2 linked regions of the Arabidopsis thaliana genome follow. The protein of the gene in region 2 interacts with the protein of the main gene of each other region in a pairwise test. Each region holds a gene or a part of one and is shown on either strand. Other genes may lie near its edges.

The links. The genes of interacting proteins can lie anywhere in the genome.
Region 1: the proteins of NAC074 (region 2) and TPR3 interact in a two-hybrid assay, tested with the Arabidopsis thaliana proteins (one study listed by BioGRID).

What each region holds. Positions count from the first base shown.
Region 1 is NC_003076.8:9,508,650-9,517,201, reverse strand, and holds TPR3 (TOPLESS-related 3), read left to right. Parts: upstream 1-1,794; 5' UTR 1,795-1,938; coding exon 1,939-2,018; intron 2,019-2,104; coding exon 2,105-2,284; intron 2,285-2,365; coding exon 2,366-2,479; intron 2,480-2,700; coding exon 2,701-2,859; intron 2,860-2,961; coding exon 2,962-3,136; intron 3,137-3,223; coding exon 3,224-3,353; intron 3,354-3,450; coding exon 3,451-3,563; intron 3,564-3,649; coding exon 3,650-3,785; intron 3,786-3,889; coding exon 3,890-3,999; intron 4,000-4,156; coding exon 4,157-4,378; intron 4,379-4,455; coding exon 4,456-4,551; intron 4,552-4,623; coding exon 4,624-4,716; intron 4,717-4,880; coding exon 4,881-5,008; intron 5,009-5,195; coding exon 5,196-5,430; intron 5,431-5,515; coding exon 5,516-5,677; intron 5,678-5,774; coding exon 5,775-5,849; intron 5,850-6,054; coding exon 6,055-6,189; intron 6,190-6,281; coding exon 6,282-6,392; intron 6,393-6,509; coding exon 6,510-6,689; intron 6,690-6,812; and 11 more. Other genes in the region: AT5G27020 (uncharacterized protein), read right to left, coding at 8,521-8,552. UniProt on the Arabidopsis thaliana protein: Transcriptional corepressor. Negative regulator of jasmonate responses.
Region 2 is NC_003075.7:14,089,360-14,097,657, forward strand, and holds NAC074 (NAC domain containing protein 74), read right to left. Parts: upstream 5,544-8,298; 5' UTR 5,245-5,543; coding exon 5,028-5,244; intron 3,240-5,027; coding exon 2,974-3,239; intron 1,942-2,973; coding exon 1,366-1,941; 3' UTR 1,130-1,365; downstream 1-1,129. Other genes in the region: CRU3 (cruciferin 3), read left to right, coding at 1-258.

The sequences.
Region 1 (8,552 bases), on a different chromosome or scaffold from region 2:
AATGCACTTTAAATTTGAATATTAAACATCTTCATATTAAAAATAGAGTCATTTGGAAATATTATTAATAAAACTATTTATAAAATTAAATAGTACAGAATTTATAAAATGTAATATCATATAATTTATCCATATATGGCACGCATTCTTACCTAGTTTATCCTTAAATTATCAAGAAAAAAACAAATTTAAAAATATTTTCTACATTTATGTTAATAAGTAAATTTTACTTAAGTTAGGAAACATAGTATCAAATTTCTTATTTTACTTAAGTTAGGTTTTGAAGAATTAACCTCGATTTGTATCTATCGTGTTTTTAAAAAATGAAAATTGACATTTATCCTTAAATTTATAAGATATATTTGTAAATTGTATTGTTCTCATTAGTATACCCTAATCACTTTTCTATCTCTCTATAAATACCTGTAAATCTCATTCTAAAATAAAGTCAATACATTTAGCCTCTATATGGTACCAAAGCTTACAATTCTAAATGGTATAAAGAATATATATGATATATTGTGAAAATGTTGGTGCCACTTACCTCGGTACCAATCCGGTTTTCTATTCTCGAATGAACCATATATATAGCACTTAATTCAAGCTGGAATGCTTCAGATTACTCATGTCTCCATTGGTGATCAGTTAGCAAATACATTCACTAAATCTTTAGCGAAATCAATATTTCAAAAAAAAAGTTCCAAAATTAGAGCTACACGAGTACTTCCATACTAAAAGGACGTATAAAGAATATACATGTAAACCATATTGTTATATCCTAATCATTTTTTTCTATCTCTTAAATACTTGTAAATCTTAATTCTAATAAAGTTAATGTATTCGGCCTCTATAAAATTTTATTTTATATATACTTAATAAGTTATTTTCATACTCCATATGTTTCTTTTATTTGATTTTCTAGAAAAAAAATGTTTCAAAAAGATTAATTTTATAGGTTTTCAATACAATACTTATTAGTTATAATTGATAAATTGTAAACTTCAATAAAAATTATTGAATATTATTGGTTTAAAGTTATTAAAAATTTTAAATTATAAAAAATAGTACATTTAAAAAACAAGATTTAATATGTCTTTTTTTAATATTTATGTTTTTCCTAAAAAATCAAATAAAAAGAAATATTAAAAATATTATTTTCCTTTTTTTATTATTTTTCTTTTCAAATATCTATTTTCTAAATCCATATTATGTTTTTCTTTTATAAATAATCTCATTTCGCCATGGAGAACACGAGTAATTCTCCTGGTGTATGCCTAAAAAAAAAAGCAAAGATTATAATATGAGTATATATAATTATATATGACGTAACCTGCGAGATGTTGAATTGTCCACATTGTAATTGTCACGAACACTTAATTAAATCTTGCGAAAAAGAGATCTCAAAAATATCGCGAGAAAAAGAAAAAAAGGATAATATGAGAAAAGCCAAACGAAGAGTGCATCGAAAGCTGAGAGCGACATAATAAAGGAGAGAGAAAAATGTGGGGACCAGACTGGACGTGTGCACAGAATATTCACACTATTTGAATTTTGTTTTCGAATCCGCCACTCTATCTCCAAATCAACTTATCACTCAATTTGATAATAACTTAACCTACCTCTCTTATAAGGAAGCCTACTTATCACCGACGAAGACTCCGCTTATATCTGATAAGTCGGTAGAACGATGTCTCTGTGCAAAGAAGAACGCGTCCAAGAAAGCGAGGTCTAAAGTTTCTCAATCCCCCAATCTTCTCCTCCTTCTTTATATATTCTCTCTCTCTCTCTCCATTTTTCTCTAAAAGCTAGAGCTCTTCAAAACCCTAGAAATCCTCGAAATCAGAGTCTTTACCTGGGCTCGTGTCTTCAGAGCTCGGATTCGTGTTTCTTTCGTCGTCTCTCTTCTTCGTTTCTCGTCAGATTTGAGATTCGTTGAGAATGTCGTCGTTGAGTCGAGAGTTGGTGTTTCTGATACTTCAATTTCTGGAGGAAGAGAAATTTAAGGAATCTGTGCACAGGTTAGTCTATTTATATGGTTTGTTTTGTGTTGTGTTGTGAGAGGCTGAATTTTGGGATTGACTGATTTGTAATTTGTTAAATATAGGCTTGAGAAAGAGTCAGGATTCTTCTTCAATACCAAGTATTTTGATGAGAAAGTTCTAGCTGGAGAATGGGATGATGTTGAGACGTATTTGTCAGGTTTTACTAAGGTTGATGATAACAGATACTCTATGAAGATTTTCTTTGAAATTAGGAAGCAGAAGTATCTCGAGGCTCTTGATCGGTATGATTATAAGCTGTCTTATTTGTTTTTTTACTCTTGAAGATTTGTGGTTTTAGAGTTTGATGTTCTCTGTTGTTACAGGCAAGAGAAGGCAAAAGCAGTTGAGATACTAGTGCAAGATTTGAGAGTTTTCTCCACTTTCAATGAGGAGCTTTACAAAGAAATCACTCAACTCTTAACTTTGCAAAACTTTAGGTATGATATATTGAATTTTGATCTCTCCTTGTTGATGTTTCTGTTGTTATGGAAAGTAGGAATATGAGACTTGGTTTAGGTTCAGTCCAAGTCGAGTTCGTGATGCTTTGTAGACTGTTTTTGTTTGGATGTGAAAGAGGGTGTGATACTCGAGTTTCTCTCTCGATTGTTTGCGTTTTGTGGATTGAAATTTGACATCAATGATTTTCATGAATCTGCAGGGAAAATGAGCAGCTTTCAAAATATGGAGACACTAAAACTGCTCGGGGCATAATGCTAGGCGAACTTAAAAAACTAATTGAAGCGAATCCACTTTTTCGTGATAAATTGATGTTCCCTACTTTGAGATCTTCGAGACTGCGGACTCTGATTAATCAAAGGTGTGTTTCTTTTTTCTTTCCTCATGACCATTCTGTATGTTGCAGATGAGGTTTGGATGACTTCGTTGTTGGATGATTCATTGTGCATATGTTCTCTTGCAGCCTCAATTGGCAGCACCAGTTGTGCAAGAATCCTAGGCCAAACCCAGATATTAAAACTCTATTCACAGACCACACTTGCACACTTCCGAATGGTCCTCTCGCACCTTCAGCAGTCAATCAGCCTGTTACTACTTTGACGAAGCCAGCAGCTTATCCGTCACTTGGACCTCATGTTGTAAGAAACCTCGATGTTTGACTGCTTTAATCATGTTTTTTGAATCTAAATTAATCTTAATGTTTGTGGAATCTGTATTACATGTAGCCCTTTCCACCTGGTCCTGCTGCTGCTAATGCTGGTGCTTTAGCTAGTTGGATGGCTGCTGCCTCTGGTGCTTCTGCTGTCCAAGCTGCCGTTGTTACACCTGCCTTGATGCCTCAACCTCAGAATCAAAGTTAGTTTTTGACGATCCTCTAGATTTCTAATCCTCGACTTATCAATAACTATCATTTCAGTTTCCATCAAAAACTTATTATTTTTCTTCCAAAAAGTGTCAATCTTGAAGCGACCAAGAACACCACCAGCAACTCCAGGTATAGTAGATTATCAGAATCCTGATCATGAACTAATGAAGCGTCTCCGCCCTGCTCCATCTGTGGAGGAGGTAACGCGAATTCTTTTCTTTTTCTGGAAAGCTGTTTATATAATTCTTGCATCTTCTCAAAATTCTAAGCATTTATCATTTTCCAGGTGACATATCCTGCTCCTAGGCAGCAAGCTCCATGGTCGCTGGAAGATTTGCCAACAAAGGCAGCTCTGGCGCTGCATCAAGGGTCCACTGTGACAAGCATGGAGTTCTACCCTATGCAAAACACGTTACTTCTTGGTATGGGGGTTTGAAAAAAAGAATACAAATTCTAAACTGTGTTTGAAGTTATATTTCTGTTATCTCTTATTTGGCTTTCTGAATGACCGTTTGAATGCCATCAGTTGGATCTGCGACGGGAGAAATCACATTGTGGGAACTTGCCGCTCGAGAGAGGCTGGTTTCAAGGCCATTCAAGATATGGGATATGTCTAATTGCTCACATCAGTTTCAGGTTTGTCTTTACAGCTAAGAAGTTTTTAGTTTATGTGTTTGATGTATAAAGGCGGAATTCAACCAAATGGCTATGAGAAGTGTTGGAGATAAAACGTATCAGCAAACTAGTTGCTGTGCAAGATTCTTATACTTGCCTTTCTTTTGGCATCATTCAGGCTTTGATAGCTAAAGAAACACCGATATCTGTCACTCGCGTTGCATGGAGTCCGGATGGAAATTTCATTGGTAAGCTTCCCGTCATGCATTGTTGGATTTTAATTGTATGTTGTCTATGGTCTCTGGTCTCAGTCTCTTATTGTGCAGGGGTTGCGTTTACAAAACATCTAATTCAGTTGTACGCTTTCTCTGGACCTAATGATCTTCGCCAACATACTGAGGTAAGCATACTTGTGATCTGTACGAGAAATATTGCGATGTAATAATATCCCACTGAGACTAGATCACTTTTTCACAGATTGATGCCCATGTCGGTGCTGTGAACGACTTGGCTTTCGCCAATCCAAACAGACAACTATGTGTAATTACTTGCGGAGATGATAAATTAATCAAGGTGAGATAAAGAGTCACAAAGTTTCACTGTTAGATATCAATGCAGCTGGCTAACTTGATCAATGTGGAACAGGTATGGGATGTTTCTGGTCGGAAGCATTTTACTTTTGAAGGCCACGACGCTCCAGTTTATTCCATTTGCCCTCATTACAAAGAGAACATTCAGGTGCGGCAAGGATTGAATCAAACTATATTTTACATCAATTATTATACTGTTTTACCAATCCGTTTGAAGAACAATAAAGTAGACGACACATTTCATATAGTATTATCTTGCCTATGAATTTCTGTTCTTTACCAAAATACATCTCGTTCTTATTTGGATTTCAGTTCATATTTTCAACCGCCATAGATGGGAAAATAAAAGCCTGGCTTTATGATAATCTGGGTTCCAGAGTTGACTATGATGCTCCCGGTAAATGGTGTACGAGGATGCTTTACAGTGCTGATGGTACTAGGTAAGATCTTAAACTCATAAACATTTCCCTCTTCTATACCGCTTGTTCTTCACTCCTCAGTTTCCAAAATCTTCAGATTCTTTTGTTTACTCCGGAGGATACTGAGTTGTGTCCTTGAGTTTCTAATCTTATCTTTCTGTTTTAAGTTTACCTTTTCAGTGCTTTCTGATGTTTTTTCCCCCTTCAGATTGTTCTCTTGTGGAACGAGTAAAGATGGAGATTCTTTCCTAGTTGAGTGGAATGAAAGTGAAGGATCAATTAAAAGGACGTATAAAGAGTTTCAGAAAAAGTTGGCAGGTGTGGTTCAGTTCGATACCTCAAAAAACCATTTTCTGGCTGTTGGTGAAGATGGACAAATCAAATTTTGGGATATGAACAACATCAATGTTCTGACTAGCACTGATGCTGAGGGTGGACTTCCGGTAAGTCCCAAAGATTCTTTTTCCCATGGCTTGTTGCTTGGATGTTCGTCTTTTTAGGTTTGCATATAACTTGTCCCAACTTCAGGCTCTTCCCCATTTGAGATTTAACAAGGACGGCAATCTTCTAGCCGTTACTACGGCAGATAACGGATTTAAGATCCTAGCTAATCCAGCTGGTTTCCGATCTCTTCGAGCGATGGAAACTCCAGCTTCTGAAACGATGAGGACTCCAGTTGATTTCAAAGCTGTAATGTTTCTCAACTTTGTATTACATTTTTTCCCTTTTTTACATCCACTGTCATTACAAGCTGTCTCGGTTTACACACTTTGGTATATTCTGTTAGGTTCCTGGTGCTCCTGTTGCGTCTGTCAATTGTAAAGTTGAACGAGGCTCTCCTGTTAGACACTCACAAATGCTGGTAAAATCACTCATTAAATGCTATGTTTCTAGCCATTTCTATAATTTATTATTCTGTTCTGGATTTTCGGTTGTAAATGAAGTGAACTTCCATTTGTCGAAATTGTAGTTTACTATTCTCTGACTATAGTAGTTGACTGTTTCCGATTTTTTTGTCATGTTTAAAAAAAATATTTACTAATCTTTTTTTTCTGAATATCCTCAAGAATGGAGTTGATCCCTCAAAGTCGAGAATCGATGACTCAACAGACAAACCAAAATCTTGGCAATTAGCTGAAATCTTGGACCCTTCCCAGTGTTTCCAAGCTACTTTACCCGATACCGCTGGTTCTTCCACAAAGGTTTGTGCAGTTATCTTTCTCAGAAAGTTGTTGGATTTCTATAAATGTTTTGAAATTGAGGCTTAATTTTCTCATGCTGCGTGGGAAAGCAGGTTGTTCAGCTTCTGTATACGAATTCCGGTGCTGGAATCTTGGCACTAGGTTCCAATGGTATCCAGAGACTCTGGAAGTGGGTTCCCAATGAGCAGAACCCTAGTGGAAAGGTAATCGTAAAAAAGAGTTTGAGAGAGCTTAATGCATGCTGTCTGCGGTTTTAAAGAGTTAGAGATAGCTTAATGCATGCTGTGTGCGGTTTTATTTAAGTACTGTTTATTATGCAGGCAACTGCTACTGTTGTTCCTCAGCATTGGCAACCAAACAGTGGTCTTCTTATGACCAATGATGTGTCTGGTGTAAACCTTGAAAACGCTGCCCCATGCATCGCTCTCTCTAAGAACGACTCATATGTCATGTCTGCTGCTGGAGGAAAAGTCTCGTTGTTCAACATGATGACTTTTAAGGTATATATTATCTATATGAACTTAAAAAAAGCCACAAGATTTCTAACTGAAAATGTTCTCACACTAATCTAGTAAACTCTTTTGGTTGTTCTAATTTCCACAAAAAAACTATTGGCCTTATAGGTGATGACAACATTCATGCCGCCTCCACCAGCATCAACGTTTTTGGCGTTCCATCCTCAGGACAATAACGTCATCGCCATTGGAATGGAAGACTCTACGATTCACATCTATAATGTCCGAGTGGATGAGGTAAGTAGTTTCTAGTACTAACCATTGCCACTTATGTAGTCTTTTTGATCTATGACAAGGAAAAACTTGTGAACCTTACGTTTTTTGAAGAAATGGTTCTCATAGCTTCACATATGTTTTACAGTTTAATTTTCCCCTCACTGCTAATGTTGCCTTAAAACTCTATCAACGATCTGAAACTTGCATATTGTGTTCCATCAGGTCAAATCAAAGCTAAAGGGTCACCAGAAACGCATCACAGGCCTAGCATTTTCTACAGCCCTCAACATCTTGGTTTCATCTGGTGCTGATGCACAGGTGTGTTATGCTGCGTCTTGTTGTTGTTGTTGTTGTCCTGTAGTAAATATATCTCAACTGAAGGGAAAAATGCTTGATTATTTTGTGTTGTTTCCTTGCTGGATTTTCTACCATTAGACTTATCTAATCTAGGAGGATACTTATTCTTCCTGTTGTCTTCTCTTAGATCTGCTTTTGGAGCATTGACACATGGGAGAAGAGGAAATCCGTTGCAATACAAATGCCAGCAGGAAAAGCCGCCAATGGAGACACGCGGGTTCAGTTTCATGTGGATCAGTTGCGTATTCTGGTAGTCCACGAGACACAACTGGCGGTATTTGATGCTTCCAAGATGGAATGTATCCGACAGGTATCTATGACTATGATGAGATCATCTCTGTAAATCCACTTATATAAAATGGATCATCTCTGACCTGGCATGTATATATGAAATGCAAGGTCATATATACATATTCTTAATCATTATTTTGAAATTTGTAATGACTTATGTTCTCTTGTTTTCATGTCTCAGTGGATTCCACAAGACTCGCTGTCTGCTCCTATATCTTCAGCGGTGTACGCATGCAACAGCCAGCTGATCTACACCACTTTCCGCGATGGTAACATTGGAGTATTTGACGCGGACAGTCTCAGATTAAGATGTCGTATCTCTCCATCCGCCTACTTGCCTCAAGGGTAAGTTTATCCAACATTTCATCAGATTCTTATTTCTAAATCACTGTACTTTGTAAGGTTTGGTACATGAATCTGTATAATAGACTTAAATTGACTTCTGAAACATGAGAAATTGGTATATTTTCATAAGCCAAAATAGTTATAAACTCTTCTCATTGATTCTCTTTGCTTTCACAGGAATCAAGGCTTGTCTCCTCTTGTTGTGGCGGCTCACCCGCAAGACCCAAACCAGTTTGCGGTAGGTTTGAATGACGGGTCAGTGAAGATGATGGAACCGACAGAGGGTGAAGGCAAGTGGGGGATGATTCCACCCTCTGAAGCTATCAATTCACCATCCACCACAAGCAACCAAACTCCAGAACAGTTACAAAGATGAACAAACCAGAATGGCTTCCTCATAATCCATCAATGTAACTAATCTCGATTATTTATAGGCAGTGTCATTAGATCTTCAAATGTAGCCTTAGTTTCAAGATTTCAAGATTTCAAGATATTGAAAATTGGTAAGAAATAAAGTTTGTATAAACTACCTGCAAATCTCTAATGAGTGAATCAACAAGAAACTGAAACTACACTAGGACTAATACTGACGAAAACCGATCAACCGTCATGGCTCGGGTAGGAGAATTCCGTCACCAT
Region 2 (8,298 bases):
GGGTTCGCATACGTTGTCCAGTCCCACGGAAACAAGTTCGAGTGGATCTCTTTCAAAACTAATGAAAACGCAATGATCAGCACTTTGGCGGGTAGAACCTCGCTCTTGAGGGCATTGCCATTGGAGGTCATATCAAATGGTTTCCAGATCTCTCCCGAGGAAGCTAGGAAGATCAAGTTCAACACACTTGAGACCACTTTGACCCGCGCTGCCGGTAGGCAACAACAACAGTTGATCGAGGAGATTGTCGAGGCTTAAATCAAAACGTTTTTCTTTTTCTTAATAAAGTATGGTCAGTTTGTAATCACGTCCCTTTACCTTTAACGTACGTGTAAAATATGTGTCTGCGGCACCTCACTTGTAATAACACTTTCTTCTCATAAATAAAAGGGAAGTTTCGAGTTACATACTATAATATAGCGCCAGTTTTTTCGTCTATTCCACAAAACATAAGTTTGTGTCCATCTACTGTAGCTTGAGCTTCGTATATATACTTGGTCTTTATTCTTTTTTTTTTCAAAATACGGCTTTCTGCTTTCTGTGGGCCTAAACGGAGGCCCAAACGAATTAAAGTTCCGTCACTTGGAAACGTTATCCTAGATTACTCTTGCGGGGAAAAGTGTAGATTAGTTCCAATTTTTGAAGTGAAAAATTGTGTTGGATTCTATGTCGTAACAAGAAATAGCATGGCCTCCAAAGATTATTCTCTCTTTCTTTAGGCTTTAGCTTCTAAAGCTAAGCTACGGAAAAACTGTATCATTCTTCTCTTTTTTTTGGCTTATGATCCATATAAGAGAGCTTGGAAGAGCTGCTTTTCATCTCCTGATCACTAGCTCATACAGTTTTTGTAATTTATTAACGAAACTATATAAAAAAAGGGAAGCCGAAAAAACAAAACAAAAAACAACCTTCATCGGCTGCTCAAATGCCAATCATCCCAATTGGTCTCCATTATTGTTTTCTCGTTACTACTCCTCCATCTTTGATTTAATAATTTTTTGAAAAAAGTTTTACTATATGAATGATATTCTCTGTTAGGGAAATATAAAAATTGTAAGCAAATGATTCTATCGAGCTATAAAAGAAAATATAATATGCAAAGGAAAGATGATAATCTAAAATATTATTTACAACAAAGAAAACTAATTGTATTCATAGTAATGGGTTTTCATATAATTTTAAAATGAGAATAAATCCTAAAAACACGCTAAATATAACAACATACATCGTCCTAAAAACCTAGAATCACACAAACCCTATACCCAAATGCCACACAACTTACATGTTTGATAATGTGATAAATCTATAGATAAAATGTTTGTATAATTCACGAATCAACAAATTGGCGAACCCCTTGAATTATGTTCATTGGAAAGCGAGGATATTTTCGGTCTCAAAACTCAATCCACCACATTCCATGTGAAGATCAGAGACCATACCACCATCCGATGATGATCCCATACATGTCTTGTCGTGATCCAAACTCGTCATGTCTAGTGATGACAACAAAATCTTCTCATAATTCTGATGATGATCACCACTGATGTTGACACTGTTGTTATTGTCGACGTAAAGCAAATTTAGCAAGGACTCGTGATCAGGGCCATGACTCGAAGGTGATGACAGCGAACCGATCATCATCTGCTCCCAACCACATGCTATGGTTTGATGATGACAATGGTGATGATAGGGGTGGCCGGTGGTCCTTGAAGGCTGCTTCATTAGCTGCTCCCACTGATCACAAACTTGGATTTTCATCTTCTCATGTTGATGATTATGAGGAGGGGATGATAGCAAAGGTGGCAACTGATTGTTGTAATTAAGATCCGGAGCGTCATTAACTTCAAGCCTTTGCGTCTGATTATCATTGTTATAATAATTATTGTCTTGTAGCGATGAGTCTCTGCCTTTGTTGAACACTCTGCACAAGACCCAGTCTTCCTGTGTCCACATACCGACAGAAAACGAGAGGACATCGTTAAAAAATAATCAAATAAACGTATGTATATAAAAATGCATGAAATGTTACGTTACGTGCGGTCTCGTGCATGCAAATGACCAAACACGCATTAAAGCCACTTTTGTCTCTTTCTTCAATTTTTATTTTGTTTTTTTGTTTTATCTGCATATATTCGTCATTCCTTCTTTTAACTTGCTGTCATCTCATCATGCTCACCCATGCATACATATATACGTTAATACGTACATATATACATACACTAATGCTTAGATACTTGACTCCAAAAATAACTAACTATCCGGAGAGTAAACATATGTATAGAATCTAGATTGGACGTCAGAAATAACCAAAACTAGTGTAATTAAGAGATGTTGATTATTAATCTCTTCATCTGACAATTCGTTTTGAATTTAAGTGTATGATTCTTTACATAGTAGTTAAGTGACTAAGTTTAAAAAGGTATAGCCGACTGAAACAAACAAATAAATGGATGAAAAATCTCTATTTTAATTGAATACACATGCATGATTCCTCACAATGTTTGTGTATATATAGTATGATCAGATTTCGTAAGTCCAGACTAAAGTTCGTGAGGTGCAAAATATACAGCTATAGACTATATGATATTGGATGGATGTATATAAATATGATGGATTAATGGATTACGACAATTTTTTGACAAGTTCTAAATAAATATTGAAAGTAATTAAAAGGATGGATTCATATGTTTATAGTGAGATAACTTATTGAGATTTTCTACCTAAAAAGAAAGAAAAAGTATGATCTCATTTTTCTTTTTCAAATTTGTTTTGGGATAAAATACCAATACGCTGGTACCATTAATTTGGTATCTATATCTATGCATGGGACATCCACGAATAGACACATGTCGTGAGTTTAGGTACGTTGCAAGTTATGGTTATCAAGACGTAATTATTATGAAATGATGATTACTAATTATGGTTAGTAGTGTCAAAGAGAGAAGGACCAATTGTTGGGGAATAACCAAGTACCTTAGGTGGGATGTTAGGACACTCAAGACGGAACTCGTGCATGATCCAAGTAGTTTTGATCCCATTTGGTGCTCTGTTTCTGTAGAACACTAGTGTTTTTCTCATCCCTACCAATTGCCTTGTACGTGGATCCATCACCGTTCGATCTTTTCCTGTTGCTTTCCAGTATCCGCTTACTGTCGCTCTGTTCGTGCGATATCCAGTAGCATACTTTCGATCACGGAAACTGAAGAAGTACCATTCCTTTGCGTTTAACTTTGCCACATCTATACACAACATACAAGAGATATATAATCATCAGTAAATTCTTAAAAGTGTTTGTCAAGATACCTATCAGTCTATCACAATACTAACTAAATATTATTTTATTTTTAAACATAAAAAATCGTATTCTAAATATTATATATAAAAGCGTCTAGTAAATTTGAATTATGGTGACTTTATGGTGATTTTATACCAATTTATTCAACATTAATTAATTTTTTGAATTGGGTTTATAGGCTTTCGATATAGAAACAGTGACATGTCAAAGGTTAATGTGGTGATATATGACTTGTGTGATGTAGACAAGACGAGGATGTGAGACATTATATTATTAGTTTTGGCAAAAAAATAATTACGATTTTGACTTCAGCGGAGGAAATTATTGCTCTCTCAAACATTCCTCCTATCAGTTTCACATTAATTTGATCCTTACAGAAGATGATCAAGAAGATAATGTGATGACTACTTACTTAAAAAGATTCCTTTATTTTGCCATAATTGAGAAGAAGAGTAATAGACCACAATTACTTTTTTGTAAACATAATTATCATAAACCATATCCAAAATAGAATATTATATGTATATTGCTTAGTTAATTATACTATTTATTCATATATTCGACTATAGTAACAACAAGATCGTACTGGTCATGTAAATAATTAAAGGTTTCTTGAGTCTCTAAAGTTGCTTGTGATATGAGGCAAAAAAAGGTCTTCGTGTTTACACACAAAGCCTACTTTTTTGTTTAGTTAATCTTTTAGTATACATTTATATTAATGTTCATTAATGCAACTAATTAACTAACTTTGTATTTTATAATCTGCAAGTTATCTTATTTAACAAAGTCCCCAAAAGTCAAAATTACGAAGACAACAAAAACTTGAAAAAGATAAGAAAAATAAAAAGATGACAACAGGATTCTCGGTCCCCTTTTAAAAAAGCTTCCTTAACTTCTCAAGGTATATCATCAAACAAAGAACCACAAACAAATAATGAAAATCACTAGAAACATACAAAGAACACACATATATATCTATATATATATATATCATGTTTTGATATGATGTAAGTGCACCTATAATTATTCATTAAAATTTACCATCTGATTTACGAGTATAACGACAGCTGTGATTTTGCATATTTTGCTGCTTTTGTACAGCCTCCAGATCTTTATTCTATAATTGCAAACATATTATTAAAAAGCTAGCATGTATCTCAACTAATCATGATTCATGACACTCCGGATAATGTTTACACTAATATTAATGCAATTATGATTTATGATCATAATTAATGAATCAGTCTAAAATCTAGCATTTATGTGAACTCATCACCCGTTTCACAATTAAAAGATATTTGATCTTTCATTCATTTTCTAGAATCACGAACAAGAAGATTCGGTTTGTAAGTATAAGCATATCATAAATCTGTAAATATGCAAATGCGTAGATATGTATTAAGTTGACAAACATAATTAGACACATAAGTAAACATCATCTAATTGTAATAATACTAAAAAGTTTATAGGTTAAGATTTACAATAACAATTAACAGACGCGGATGATAATATCTGATTTCAAGAATTAGTTTTCTTCTTTATGTTCAATTAATTTCAGGAATATTGTTTTCCAATGGAAAGTTTCAAGAATCTTTACGAAAGCAATTTGAAACCCAAGAAAAGCCAGGAGTGAAAAGATAGTTAAACAAATTCATATAACCTATGACTATATATCAGTTTGAATCCAAAAAATATAGAATTAAATATCAGAAATAGTAGAGATATATGTTACCAGGAAGCTCCCATGGCTCACAGATATGCAAGTCAATCTCCACAAGATCAGTAGAACCCTTCAAAGCTTCATCAACATCATCATCATCATCATCAACATCACCATGATCAGATTTGGCCCTAATCTTGTTGCAAAGATAATGACAAACCAACTCTTCATCACTTGGATGAAATCGAAACCCCGGTGGCAATTTGGACCCAATATCTTTCAAACCCATTACGTGAAGAAATCTTTAGCTTTATATATGTCTGTGTTAATGTACGAAAATATATATTTAAGAGAGTAATATCAACAAGGCGTGTAAGGTTCAAAGAAAAGTTTATTAGCAAAGGAGGAAGAGAAAGATAAAGAGGGAGAGGGAGAGGGAGAGGGAGATCGGTGTGTGTAGATACATATATAGGTTTAATTATGTATATATTTATAGTTAGTGGGAAATTAGCTTATATGATATATGGAAATACAATAATATAAATCATGCATGTAGCTAAGGATGTAAGATGGCAAGTTAGAGTTTCTTACAATATTGTAAGATTAATTGGGTCCATGGTTGTGTAATATATGTAGTTAGTTATGGTGGGAAGTTTCAAGAAAAACCAAAGTTACAAGAAATCTTAGTTGTGAGGTGTCTCATGGGACACTATTATCAAATATTCTCTTTTGGTTTCATTGTTATCCACTTAGGGAAAACAAACCAAACTTTTCCCTTCTTTTTCTTCTTGTTCGAATAACCGTTTCATTTAGATACTATTTTTTTTTTGTGAATAGTAGGTAAATTATGAATGTCTACGATCGCTAGTCTAGATTAGTCCGTATTTTCTTTTGGTATCTCAAAATTAATAAGAAAGTCAATCATAGTTTTCCGTTTAAGGATTGTTACCTAAACAAAACTTGGTGGTACGATTTAATTTGGAGATACAATAGTACTCTAAGATTAATTAGTATGAAGTTAAGCTTGAATTTTTTTTTTTAAATCAAAAATATTAGTAAGAAAGTCAGAAGAAAGTTAATTAGCATACTTTTATTTATAATACCTACAATAATGTGTTTTTTTTTTGCTGCCAACAATTAGTATTGACAATTAATGGGTAACATACGTTAACTGTGTTAAATCGATTATTCTTGGCCATATATTTAGGAAAAAAATAATATGGACCTAATTTAATATGTCAAATATTTTTTTTCTGATTTGATATCAAATTCAAAAGGGGTTGGCAAAGCATGATGTAAAGTTGTAAACGAGCATGCAAGAGTATACATATATAACTTTTACTACAAGGAAAAATTAGTTACGGAATTTATTTTGTTTTTATCTTGATTTTTTTCAATAAGAGAAACAATAGAAACCATACTTTATACTGAACTCCTTTTTTTTTTTTCTTTAATTAGTTTTCTTTTTGAACTCCGTGGGTTGGTCGATTTAATACTGGATTAGTTTTTCCTTAATTAGAGAAGACTAGATACACTGATTCATTTTGATTAATAAGTTGACATTAATTCTTCCACAATTAATTTACGCCTAACATGCTAATGTGGCATATGTGACGAGAGGCCAATTTTATTTAAATCGTTAGAGACAATATACTTCCAATATGTAAGAATGTATACGTACCAAATATCAATCAATAATTACCAGGTCAACTATATATAATATGTACGATTACATATATAATGGTATGTAACTATGTATATATGTACTCATGGTAACCGCTATCCAAATTGCTCGGTTATATGACTTCTAGATTTGAGAGCCCAAAACAAAAATCGTATAATATCTTCTCACTTTCTCAGGATTCACAAATATATTTCCCTCAGTCTGTTTGACTCTATCGCCATCTCTACTTTCTGAAGATATTAGTTAGCACATATATAACCACAGACTACACCTAGAGACGATAGAGTAAAACCAGATGAGTGAGGATCAATCTAAGCTTAATAACGTTGTCGGGGTAATAGCTTTGTCTGTCAACAATGTTGCACGCTTTGAGTGGTAGTGATACTGATACTGATATTTTAATTTCTGAAAATATTGTGGTATTCTTTAACAGAAATAATAATATTGTGGTATAAAGTGAGAAAATGTAAAACAATTAATTTTACTTTTATATACACTCTATACATAGTTAATTTTTTTGTGGGGGTCTATTCAAAAAAATAAAAGAATTTATGATAAACATTCTTAATTTAGACTAATTTTAATATGAGTTAATTACATGCTCAAGTGGTTTTCAATAGCATTCGAATGAGGACAAAAAGTAACATAGTCCATCGATCAATTTTGCAACTTTTTCAAAATAGCAAGCTAGCCATAAGAGGGGAGTAAACTTTACAAAGCGATCGTAAACCTATAAATGGGGAGTCCATGGTTAAAGACAGGCAAGACGTTACCTTTGAATTAGTTTTATAAATTAAGTGTTTAAAATCATTTTTTCTTTAATTTGTTAGCTACCCTTAGATAATATATAGATATTCGTAAAAAACTAAAATAAAATTTGTTTAAAGAAATTATTTTCCTAATTTTGTTAAAAGTTTTGATAGCATATGTATTATGTCTTTATGTTATATTCTCTTTGTCTCATTTATTTATAATGAGATGCACACGTAAGAAATTTTTTATCACAAAAAGTATTTCAATTTAAAATAGTACAAGCAATCATAAGAGATAATGCATAATATAAATGATCATAAAATATTAAATATATTTGAATTTTAAATAAAAACTTATGAAGTGTCTAATAAATTGAAACTAACAAAAAAAAAACTTAAAACATTTCATAAAATGCGACAGAAGGAATATATATAAAGAGATAGCCAGATACTATCATCCCACTAAAAAATGTCAAAAAAATCGATACTATCATTTTTGAAACTAGACACAATTGATGGGAGTAACCGAGTAAGGGGCCCATTAATGATGAACATGAAAAACCGAAGACACTGTGAACTTTGAACCAAACTCATTTTCTTGGTGTTTCGGAAAATCTTGGATTTATTTCAGAGCCTGCCACAATAATTGAGGTGTAGACAAAACTCAATTTTGTCATTATGTTTCCTATGTTTCTCGTAATTATTGGAAGCTGTACACACACATCTTTTTTGTTTCTTTTGTCAATACATACACAATAAAGACAACGCGACGATCTTAAGTCCTAACTTCATTCTCGTTAATTTGTGACTTTATTTTTACAAAAAAATATTGGAAAAAATCAATCGCTCATATGATCTAATCTAATAAAGTGTAACAGGCACATGTATTGTAATAGTTTGTGCTAAT